2 linked regions of the Arabidopsis thaliana genome follow. The protein of the gene in region 1 interacts with the protein of each later gene in a pairwise test. Each region holds a gene or a part of one and is shown in the gene's direction. Other genes may lie near its edges.

Evidence for each region. The genes of interacting proteins can lie anywhere in the genome.
Region 2: the proteins of AT1G16960 (region 1) and GLR1.1 interact in a protein complementation assay, tested with the Arabidopsis thaliana proteins (one large-scale study listed by BioGRID).

Annotation. Positions count from the first base shown.
Region 1 is NC_003070.9:5,795,477-5,801,387, forward strand, and holds AT1G16960 (Ubiquitin domain-containing protein), read left to right. Parts: upstream 1-4,264; 5' UTR 4,265-4,521; coding exon 4,522-4,555; intron 4,556-4,685; coding exon 4,686-4,808; intron 4,809-4,883; coding exon 4,884-5,006; intron 5,007-5,083; coding exon 5,084-5,148; 3' UTR 5,149-5,411; downstream 5,412-5,911. Other genes in the region: AT1G16950 (uncharacterized protein), read left to right, coding at 607-888; KU70 (ATP-dependent DNA helicase 2 subunit Ku70-like protein), read right to left, coding at 5,683-5,796.
Region 2 is NC_003074.8:1,073,822-1,079,968, forward strand, and holds the start of GLR1.1 (glutamate receptor 1.1), read left to right. Parts: upstream 1-3,414; 5' UTR 3,415-3,539; coding exon 3,540-3,795; intron 3,796-3,978; coding exon 3,979-5,186; intron 5,187-5,274; coding exon 5,275-5,587; intron 5,588-5,676; coding exon 5,677-6,011; coding exon of another isoform or gene 6,012-6,100; coding exon 6,101-6,147. Other genes in the region: SIP1A (small and basic intrinsic protein 1A), read right to left, coding at 1-210; AGL57 (AGAMOUS-like 57), read left to right, coding at 1,478-2,101. UniProt on the Arabidopsis thaliana protein: Glutamate-gated receptor that probably acts as a non-selective cation channel. Can transport sodium, potassium, and calcium ions.

The DNA of each region.
Region 1 (5,911 bases):
TCGTCTCTTATGGAACATCTCAGTCAGCAACTTAGCAAGACATTGAACAATTTTTTTTTTTTTTTTACCACCTAACAAACAAAATATTTAACTGAATACAAACAACTAATTATTTTATATACCGTTTTATAGTGGTGATCAAAGTAAAGACAAAACAAAAACCAAAAAGAAGATATACATATATATTTTATATGACATTTATGTTGTATAAAACTCAATTCTGCTATTTTGATATTATTGTTAAATTATCATATTCAGATAAGCAATGAAAAGCATGTAACGTGAAAGTGTTTTTGTCTGCTGCTTGGAATTATAACATACACTTTGTCAAAAAAGAAAGAAAAAAACACCTACATATATGCATTGATCCATCAATTACAAACATAAACACTTTATATATACGAACTCACCAATTTAGTTCATTTGTACCTAACCCAAATAAATTTCCATTGACCTCATCCATCTCCTGTTCTCTCTATATATATCCACTCTATCAAAGTATTCACTCACAGAAACACAACCAAATCCCAAAAAATAAACTAAAAATTTCTTGCTTCATAACTAATTAATTAATATCTAAAATTATACAACAAAATCAATCAGGTAATGGCTCGTCCAAGGATCTCCATTTCGATGATTTGCTTACTCATTTTGATTGTTGGTTTTGTCTTGCAATCTTCTCAAGCTAGAAAAGTTCTAGTCCCTTACGGCACAAGCAAGGGTTTGTTTCTTAGTGCCCTACCCAAGGGCAATGTACCACCTTCGGGTCCAAGCGACAAGGGTCACACTTCTCCTCCGGATGATACCGACCAGCGTATGGTACCAGAAAACTCGCCGGAGATATACCGTCGACTAGAATCAGTCCCTAGCCCCGGCGTGGGTCATTAGGCACATTAATTGATTGTCGTCTTTTCACTTCATATATGTTGACATGTTGTCGAATTCTATTCACAATGATATCATATACCGTTCGTAAGTCTTCTCAAGAATGTTTGTGTATGTGTGTCTTCATATATAATTGATATAGATATGTTTGTGTGTGATCCGATCCGTTATTGAGTAATAAAAAACCACTATTCTACACTTTGATTTATCATTTATTCAATTATATATGTTGTCGAATATTGCAGATCTCTATATGTAACGACATACAGCTTTTGTCCGTTTGAAAATATTATGTATTTAGAGAAAACTTAGTTTAAATGATATTCTTATGACTTATTTGTCAATTATCGCTTAGAAAAACCGAAGTTATCAAAACTATTTTTGTCATATCAATTTTTTTTCTTGCATTAAAGAGATTGAGTTCATGTGTACACTTTCTTTTATAATTAAAAAAATTATATTCTCAAAGTATCAGAAAATTTGATTAAATCCTCGTTTTATTTTCGATAGTGTGTATTTAGAAGAACTACATTCTTAATTTGGTAAAAAAATTCATTTGTGGGTATAAATAATATAAGGCTATTAATAGTTGCCCAATTGTAGTTCACACGGTGTCCAAAGAATACTATAGACTCAAAGGGACAAATTACATCATACGATTTTTACACAAATATAAACATGAACGTACGATTGGTGCCCACCATAATCGATACAATGTAAAAAGGTTGCGTACGTAAATCATATTCTTCATGAAGAAAGCTACATATAAAGCCTGTAACTTAGAAAGTAAACAATAATTCAAAAGCTTCGTTTTGACATCTTCGTAGAAAAAGTTGATGATTTGACAATAATTATGTCTGTTTACGTAAGAGACGTCTTCCTCTCTCCAGTTGACATTTTTGTTTAGTGAAATTGAATAGATTCAGGGTTTCGACTAAAGAGAAGAAGAAGAAGAAGAAAAAAGAAAAGAGAAAATAGACATGCAATAATATAAGGAACACCATTATTGCTCATCTCAGGGATTATACTATTTAAGGACTTACTTTTTGCCAAGAAGCTCTTTCCTCACTTTCCTTTTTTGTATTTTCTTAATAAGTTTAACTAACCAACTAGTAGTAAGATGGAGCCGCTTGTTATACACATTCAATGCATGTGTATATCTTTAAGTAGTGTTTTTTTGTTTGTCAAGTGATAATAATTACTAACTTCAAGTAGTTTTTTTTTGTTTTTGTTTATATATAGTTAAATGTATACAATATAATATATATAGACTGTATTAGAATATATTCATAATGATCATTATCACGAATGGTGTTTGTGTTTGCCATTGGACGGCTGCGAGAGAAAAGACGAGTAAGAAGAAAAATTTAGGTCTAGGAGCTTTATTGCTCTGATTCCATGATTATAGAAGTGATGATTTTATTATAATACAGAGATGAGCTTATATACAAAGAGAGATATCTAGGGTATTACAATCAAAGTAAATGTGAATATATGACTATAGATAAATAGACTAATGATTGATATAATCAAAGATATGAATATTATCTAATAGACTGTAGTGAAAATCCTAGACACAAATATTTCTATTAAAATTTTACTTCTAATAATAATTAAAAAAAAAATTGGGATATTCCTATGACTTTCCATATGTAACGTCATGTCACATAAAAGTGTTGAAAATGGAAATCCTTACTTTGAATTTAACTCAAGAAAATTTTAAAATCATATTGTCGAGTTATATAACCCAAAACTAGTAGGTTTAGATAAATATTACATGACACGCTAATGTTATATCAAAGCATGAATTCTGCTGTCAGATGAATGTGGTTACAATCTCAAAATCATGAAAACTGTTGAAAAAGTCATTTATAAAATGTTTTGCTTCCAAAACCCAAAGCTAAAGTTTAAATCGTTCAATGGGTCATTATCATACATTAGTCTACATAAATCTTGGTAAATTTGCACTATTATAGATTCGTTTGAAACTTGTGAACCACGTTAATTTCATTATCAGCAAATGAATTGTACCAATTTTTTATACCATTGGTGCGTCGTTGTTATAGAACAAAATCCATTATTTTCGCTTCATATTCTTTGACAATGATGTATCGAAGTTCACTTCACTTTACCTGGTAGAGTTGTTAAGTGTTAACTAAGACATTGGCCATCTTTATTTGACATTACCACAAAATAAAGTAAAACTAAAACTTATGATTTTGCACTCCGTATGAAACGGCACGGTTGATAGAAGCGGATAGTTACGGGCCTTACAGGCTTATAAGCCCAAAATTTTCAAGCTAAAAGCCCAAAAATACAAAACTGGCTTGTTGCAAGTAGTCGCTCTTGAAACAGCGTGAGTTTCCAATTAAAACAATTAGATGAGTACCCGCACGTAGTGCGGGTGTATGTATTATTATTTACAAATTGTTTTATATAATGTTTGTTCATATAAAGTAAAGTTGAATGCATCGGTTTTGAAACATAAATATGATTTGTAATTGTTTTTAAAAAGTCCAACTATATTAGTTCATTTGAAAAACGAATGTGCTTGAGTTCTTTTTTATTGTTGTTTTAAATTCTCAGTTTTTTTTTAATTTATATATCTTTGTTTTTGGTTATAAATGTAAATTGTGAGACGGTGAAATTTTAGAAAATTTATTTCTTACACTATAAATATACCATGTCTTTATTAACCATGTCTCTGCATATTCAATCTAAGCTTATTCAACTTGATGTTCTTGAAAAGTTTAGTTAAGTTCTTGTTATAATCTTATATCTTACGTTTTAGTTATAAGGATGGCTCCTCAAACATCTTTCAAATTATTTGTTTTCTTAGCATAAATCTCGAAAAGCTTAGATATATTTAATCTGCATATTCATTTAGTTTCTTTCATAATAATCGTCTAATTTTTAGGCAAGTAATATATGTAGCATGTTTGGATTTTTAGCCACTTAAGTGGATCTCGAAATTAAAGAGGATATATTGAATTAAAAAATGTAGAAAAAGTGATGGTTCAAGTTCTGATTAATTATATTCTTTATGTTGAATTAATTACTAATTATGTATTACTTATTTTATGAAGTTTAGGTGGCAAGCTCTTATGTGCTGATGTGTCAAGTTGTTGGAGAGAGTTAGCCTCTTTTCGTATATATGATTTGTGGTATATAATGAAAAATAACTATTTCGGATTCATATATAAGAAGCTTTTCTAGCAAACACTCCACGATTTGGATTTGAGATATCGGCTGTTACATATGTTAGATATATTTAGTATGAATAAATCTATAAAAATAATTGTATCGTTACGTATGTTTTTATCTTTAACCATAAATAGTTAGATGATGAAATTCCAAACTACCACATCTTTGTGGCTCACGAGTATCTCACTTTGAACAGACCAAACATTATGGAGAGCAAAAAAGAAGAAAAAAAAGAGCAACCTTGTGATTCACGAGATAACGCAAACCTTTGTCTCTCACCATCATACAAAAAATATCTCTCTTTCTAGTTAATAGGTATTTACAAATCTTGTAAACTTAATCTCTCTCTATCTCTCTATCTGCTCTGTTTACTCTGCTTTGTAAATTTTGTAATGTTCGTTTGTTGTTATCGTCTACTAAGGAAGACAAATAATGGGTTGTTCTAGCTCGAGAACCATAGCAGAGGGTACTCTCTCTCTCATCAAATGAGAGTCAAGAAATGACCCACACACATCTGATCTAATGTTTTCTTCTTCATGATTATTCTTACTGCTGAGAGTATCTCTGTGGACTGTGATTTGATTGTGTGTTTGTAGGGAAAAAGGAGAAGATTCGAAGACCAAAAACATGGAAACATCCTCAACCGATATCAAGAGATGAGCTCACACAGATGCGAGAGGAGTTCTGGGACACAGCTCCTCACTATGGAGGCAAGAAAGGTGATCATCACATATAAATAATTATGTCAAGAGTCAAAAGTGTTTGTATTTCAATGTATATACATATGTAAACAGAGATATGGGATGCGTTACGAGCTGCAGCAGAAGAGGATGATTTATCGCTTGCGCAAACGATACTTGAGAGTGCCGGTGTGATTGTTCAGAACACTGACCTCACCATTTGTTACGACGAGAAAGGTATTAGTCTTATTCTTCCACAAGGTTTGGTTTTGGTTGATTTTGTGCAAAGTAGTTGAGATGTTTAACTTTTGCAGGTTCCAAGTATGAATTGCCTAAATACGTTCTCAGGGATCCTTCAAATTTGATCCCAACCAAATAGAGAAATTCAACAAAAGACTACGAAGAACGAGAAAAGCTCGCTTGTGTATGCATTCTAAGGAATCATGTTGTGTTTAATTTAGTTATTGTTTGGATATGTTATCTTGTGTATATGAGAACATATGTGAGAAGTGAAATGGATTACAAAGGTCCAAAAGTTCCTTTATAATTTTTCCATAAAAAAAGAACCTATGATCAATAAAACTACGCTCATACCACAAATTGTTATCTCTTGTTTCTATCTTGTTGTTCAAGATTCATAAGACTTTTTTTTATAACCTATGGAGAATTATAAAGAACCTTATGGAATTCGTCAAATATAAACTCCACCATAAAGTTAGAGCCAAGATCACAAATTAGTGATTACCCAAAAGAGACCATTACAGTTAAATCTAAAACCCTTTGTAGCTGAGGCAAAACGATGAACAATGACCCGGAAGATAAATGGGTCCAGTTCCCATCAAAAACAGACAAGCTTTTCAATAAAACTAAAACGTAGCTTCTCTAGCAGGAGTTATATAACTCACGGTTAAAGTTATTTACCAATGTGAGTCAGAATCCGATTGATCAGAACTTCTTTCTTCCCGCTGACGAGGAGATTGTTGGCAGTCAGATATGTCTTCAGTTCGACCACAGTCAAGTCCTTCAGCTAAACAAAGAAAACAGAACATGAAGATAGCTTATTTAAACGTAGAGATCTAAAAAGCAATGAAACAAAAAGATGAAATCATTAAGCAGAAATCTAAATTAATGCTTAGAATTTT
Region 2 (6,147 bases), on another chromosome or scaffold:
ATTGAAGCTAGCGCTACCGAAGATAACGGTGAAGATCGAGACGTAGACGAAAATCAACGACGTCAAAATCACCAACGGAGCCCAAGTGATTGCCTGAAAATCACCGGCGGAGATAATCGCCGCCGTCTGAATTCCAAAGGTAGCGGAGAGGACAACCCAAGAGAAGGTCATCAACATATCCCCAATCGCCGACTTCAACACACCCATCATCTTCGTCTTCGTCTTCTTCTCTTTGGCGTTCGTATCGAGAAAGTTCTCTGTCTTTTGGGGATCTGGTTGTGGTTAGGTGGGTGGTACGTCGCCTCTTTAGCTTTCTCTCTCACAGCTATTTTTCTCCTCAAATAGATTTTTTTCTTTTTGAAAATTTGTTTTTTTTTGTTTTTTTCTTGTTTTATGAAACGAAGATATCTTTGAATGATTAACCTAACCGATAGTCTTACAGAGATTGCAACAAATATATAAATTATTAGTTATTGAATATCAGTTGAAATTATACGTGGACTTAAACTAGGTTTTATTAGAGTTAATAATTAGAGTTTAAATTAAGCATATAAAAAGCGTGGATTTTATTTTATATTAGCTAGCTGTAGCCTATGAGAGGAAATATTTTTCATGTGTTTCATGTTATATAAATTTGGAAATTTATAAGTATAAATTGCATCCCTTAAGTTATTGTTATTTTAGAGAAAATAGATTAAAGTTATTTTAACCTAAAATTAAATTTTTAAATTTTTTTTTTATGTTTATATATTGACTTCAATTCTATTAGCTTTAACTAGCTTTCCAACGGTAGTAATTTCAAGTCAAACGGAATATTATAGCAATTCTATTAGTTTCAATTAGCTTTCCAACGATAGTGATTTCAAGTCAAACAAAATATTATAGCAAAAGTTATGACTAATCAAATGAACGGACTTATACTAATACAAAAAAGTTTTATTTTTTAAATGAAATTTGATAGAAAAATAAGATAAATTTGGATTTTGAAGTTTTTTAAAAAAATTATATGACTAATCTACAAAAAAATAAGAATATTATGGACAAATTTTGTAGTAGATATCTTTTATATCAAATTTTTCCTATTTTTTTTGTAACAAAAGAATTTTGGATCTGAGGTATGTTCCCTGTAAGGGATACACAAACTCGTAATTACCTAAAAGAACATTCCTCCTTGAATGGTCAATTAGCCTTTACACCAGCTATTACACCAATTGGGTTACCATAATAGTTTCTTGACTGATTAATGAAGATGTTAAAGTGGTTGCCAAATGTGTTTAGTCAACATTTTTTTTTTTTTTTTGTAAATTAGTCAATACACTTTCTTCATAACTAAGATTTAAATTTAATGTCTCCAAACTTTGTAATCCTATCTCTTTCTTTGGTCTATAAATAGATTGTGTTTTGCGCATGGTTTTATCATTACATACAAAATAACAAACCTACAAGAAATCAAACACTAGTTCTGGTTTCTGCAAACATGTCATCTACGAAGCAAGCAAAGGGAAGAAAAACAAAGGGGAAGCAAAAGATCGAGATGAAGAAGGTGGAGAACTATGGAGATAGGATGATTACGTTCTCAAAACGTAAAACCGGAATTTTTAAGAAAATGAACGAGCTCGTAGCAATGTGTGACGTTGAAGTGGCTTTCTTGATTTTCTCTCAACCCAAGAAGCCCTATACATTCGCACATCCGTCTATGAAGAAAGTGGCTGACCGGTTAAAGAACCCTTCGAGACAAGAACCATTAGAGAGAGACGATACCAGACCCCTCGTCGAAGCTTATAAGAAACGAAGGCTCCACGACCTCGTAAAAAAAATGGAGGCGCTCGAAGAGGAGCTTGCGATGGATCTAGAGAAGTTGAAACTGTTGAAGGAATCGAGAAATGAAAAGAAGTTAGATAAAATGTGGTGGAACTTTCCTTCGGAAGGTTTGAGCGCGAAGGAGCTGCAGCAAAGGTACCAAGCGATGCTCGAGTTACGTGATAACTTATGCGACAATATGGCTCACTTACGATTGGGAAAAGACTGTGGTGGTTCATCTTCTGTTCGTGTGGGACGTCGAGTTTCTGGTGGTGTTCGTCTGTTCGATCGTGAAGCATGATCATACATATTCATACTTGATGATTTAAATTTCTTTGTATTTGAACTGCTGATTTTAATACTGCATGTATCCATTTGACGAAGCTCAATCGTCTCGAGTATATCTCTATTATCTAACAGTATTGAGAAAAAAGGAGTTTCAGTTTTCAAAAGTTGAAAGACTGAGCCAAGTGATGACAAATTCGAGCGTTAGGGTCTTCACAAATTGGATATTTTGCGAAAAATCATGTTAGTTTTTTATTTGATGTATTATTAATAAGAAATGAGGGTTTCCTTTTTTGAAGTAATCAAAAGAATTTTCCATTTTTGCGTCCAATCATGTAAAACTTAACCATTCCTTTTGTTTCCTTTTAAAGATAAAATTCCTTTTAAAAGTAATTTTTCATTTTCTTCAGAAACCTTTCGGTCATAACCTTCTCTTATAAAATAATAATCTCTTCTTACGAATCAAAGGTCTCTTATTCGAAGGGCAATAACATTTGACCATAAAAAAAACCCCATATATATATACAGTGTATATATATATTTTTGCCCCTTTGTGAAGAAAATAAAACAATCAGAGATGAGCCCTAAATTTTCCAACCATGCGACCGTTTATGTGATCCATCGTTGCGCGGGTATATCGAAGATCGTATTATGAGTCTTTTTATGATCGTATTATCCTTTGTGCGAAGTACAACTATTGAACAAGACGAGAAAAAGTTTTCATTGCGCAGGTAAGTCGCGAGGGAGATGTATTCCATAAGTATTCTATAAGCCAAGTCTCCTAATCTCCCTGGTAACGTTATCTCATTCCACATGTACTCTATAAGTATTCGCGAGCGTGTGGTTTCGATAGAGTAATAATTTAATGATTGTAGAAGGAGATGACTGTGGGATCATCCTAGACTAGAGTTTTAATCTCTTGATTTGATTTTTCCTCGACGAGTTGAACTAACCAGCTTGTGATTTTTTTTAGCTTCTCGGGTTGTGGTAGATTTTATTATATATCACTTGGTTGTCCTATCACTTGAACTCGAATATTTACTTCTACGAATTGACTTTGCGAAATAAGCTAATATATCTAGTATTATGGTTTCCCCTGCATATGTATTTTACATTGTATTTAACCTGGATTTTGAAATCAGTTTTAAAAGTAACTGTTGAAAACATAAATTAAATAAAACTTTTTTTAAGGCTCAACTATACTTTAGAAGGAAATAAATGTGTTTCCTAGTCAATTTGTGTCGATGAACAGTACACATTGACTTTGATTGTGTGCGATATCGCGTTAGTTTGATTTAAAATGATTGTGACCATACACTTCAGAAAATCAAAATGCAATTTGACCGGAAAAAAAAAATGGTCCAGTATAATTATTATTCCATGGCACAAGTAGATATGGAAACACCATTGTTTATAACCCAAAGCGAACGTTACAGAGCTATACAAGAAATTATATGGAGATTCTGTTTTCTATTTCCATTCTTGCTCTTCTCTTTTCCGGAGTAGTAGCTGCTCCAAGCGACGATGATGTTTTCGAAGAGGTTAGGGTTGGATTGGTGGTTGACTTGAGTTCTATACAAGGCAAGATTCTGGAAACTTCTTTTAACTTAGCGCTTTCAGATTTCTATGGCATCAACAATGGATACCGAACCAGAGTCTCTGTTTTGGTCAGAGACTCCCAAGGAGACCCGATCATTGCTCTTGCCGCCGGTGAGTTTTCATCTCCCTTATTCAATTATTGCAATTTTTGGTGGGATCCACAACTCCTCTTCATTTAAAGCAGACTGAATCAAATAAAAAAGAATTGACCTAGTCCCGCCGGTTTACTCCGGTTAACATTCTCATGTCTTGCACTAACCGTTTTGCACTGCAATTTGTGTTTGTATGAAACAGCTACTGATCTTCTCAAAAATGCAAAAGCGGAAGCCATTGTTGGTGCACAATCATTACAAGAGGCAAAGCTTTTGGCGACGATTAGCGAAAAAGCTAAAGTTCCGGTCATATCTACTTTCTTGCCAAACACGTTATCTTTGAAGAAATACGATAACTTTATTCAATGGACGCATGATACTACATCAGAGGCTAAGGGAATTACAAGTCTCATACAAGATTTCAGTTGTAAATCGGTTGTGGTTATATACGAGGATGCTGATGATTGGAGTGAGAGTTTGCAAATATTGGTTGAGAATTTTCAAGATAAAGGAATCTATATCGCTCGTTCTGCTTCTTTTGCAGTCTCATCATCAGGAGAAAATCATATGATGAATCAGCTAAGGAAGCTTAAGGTCTCAAGAGCATCGGTTTTTGTGGTGCATATGTCCGAGATTCTTGTTTCTCGTCTCTTCCAATGTGTAGAGAAGTTAGGTTTGATGGAAGAAGCGTTCGCTTGGATCCTCACTGCAAGAACCATGAACTACTTGGAACATTTTGCAATAACTAGGTCGATGCAAGGGGTCATTGGTTTCAAATCTTACATCCCTGTATCTGAAGAAGTTAAGAATTTTACTTCAAGATTGAGGAAACGTATGGGAGATGATACAGAAACAGAGCATTCTAGTGTAATCATCGGTTTACGCGCACACGATATCGCTTGTATTCTAGCAAATGCAGTAGAGAAGTTCAGTGTAAGTGGTAAAGTTGAAGCATCTTCGAATGTATCAGCTGATCTTCTGGATACAATTAGACATAGTAGATTCAAGGGTTTGAGTGGTGACATCCAAATCTCTGACAACAAATTTATCTCAGAGACATTTGAAATCGTGAATATTGGAAGAGAAAAACAGAGAAGGATAGGATTATGGAGTGGTGGTAGTTTTAGCCAAAGAAGACAGATTGTTTGGCCTGGCAGGTCTCGTAAGATCCCAAGACACCGTGTTTTGGCAGAGAAAGGTGAAAAGAAGGTGCTTAGGGTCTTAGTTACCGCAGGAAACAAGGTCCCGCATCTAGTGTCGGTGCGTCCTGATCCTGAAACAGGTGTTAATACTGTCTCTGGATTCTGCGTAGAGGTTTTCAAGACTTGCATTGCTCCTTTTAACTACGAGCTTGAATTCATACCTTACCGTGGAAACAATGACAATCTTGCTTATCTACTTTCTACTCAGGTGTGAAAATGCAAACAGTTTAAAAACATTTTTCTAGTCAAAAATGATTATGTATGTTTCTAATAATGTGTGTTTGCAATTTTGACAGAGAGACAAGTATGATGCAGCAGTTGGTGATATCACCATCACTTCCAACAGATCTTTGTATGTTGATTTTACTTTGCCGTACACTGACATTGGTATTGGAATCTTGACAGTGAAAAAGAAAAGCCAAGGGATGTGGACCTTCTTTGATCCTTTCGAAAAATCCTTGTGGCTAGCAAGTGGAGCTTTCTTTGTCTTAACTGGGATTGTTGTTTGGTTAGTTGAACGGTCCGTTAATCCGGAATTTCAGGGCTCTTGGGGACAACAACTTAGTATGATGCTCTGGTTTGGTTTCTCAACCATTGTATTTGCTCACAGTAAGTGTTTATGTTAGAGTACTACTCTTCATGAAATCCCATCCTTTTGTATATTTTGATCTATAACAAATTACGCACATTCTTGGCAGGAGAGAAGCTACAGAAAATGTCATCAAGATTCTTAGTCATAGTTTGGGTTTTTGTGGTGTTAATATTGACTTCAAGTTACAGCGCAAACTTGACATCAACCAAGACCATTTCTCGCATGCAATTAAATCATCAGATGGTTTTCGGGGGATCTACGACGTCAATGACTGCGAAGCTCGGATCCATTAATGCAGTTGAGGCCTATGCACAACTTTTGCGAGATGGAACTCTTAATCATGTCATCAATGAAATACCTTATCTCAGTATCCTTATCGGAAATTATCCGAATGATTTCGTAATGACAGATAGAGTGACTAATACCAATGGCTTTGGCTTTGTATGTACCCTTCTCCTCAAACCTCTCATTTTCTCTCCATTATTTGGTTACTTATTCTTGTTACGTACTAATTTATGTTTACCTCTCAGATGTTCCAGAAAGGTTCGGATTTGGTTCCTAAAGTATCGCGAGAAAT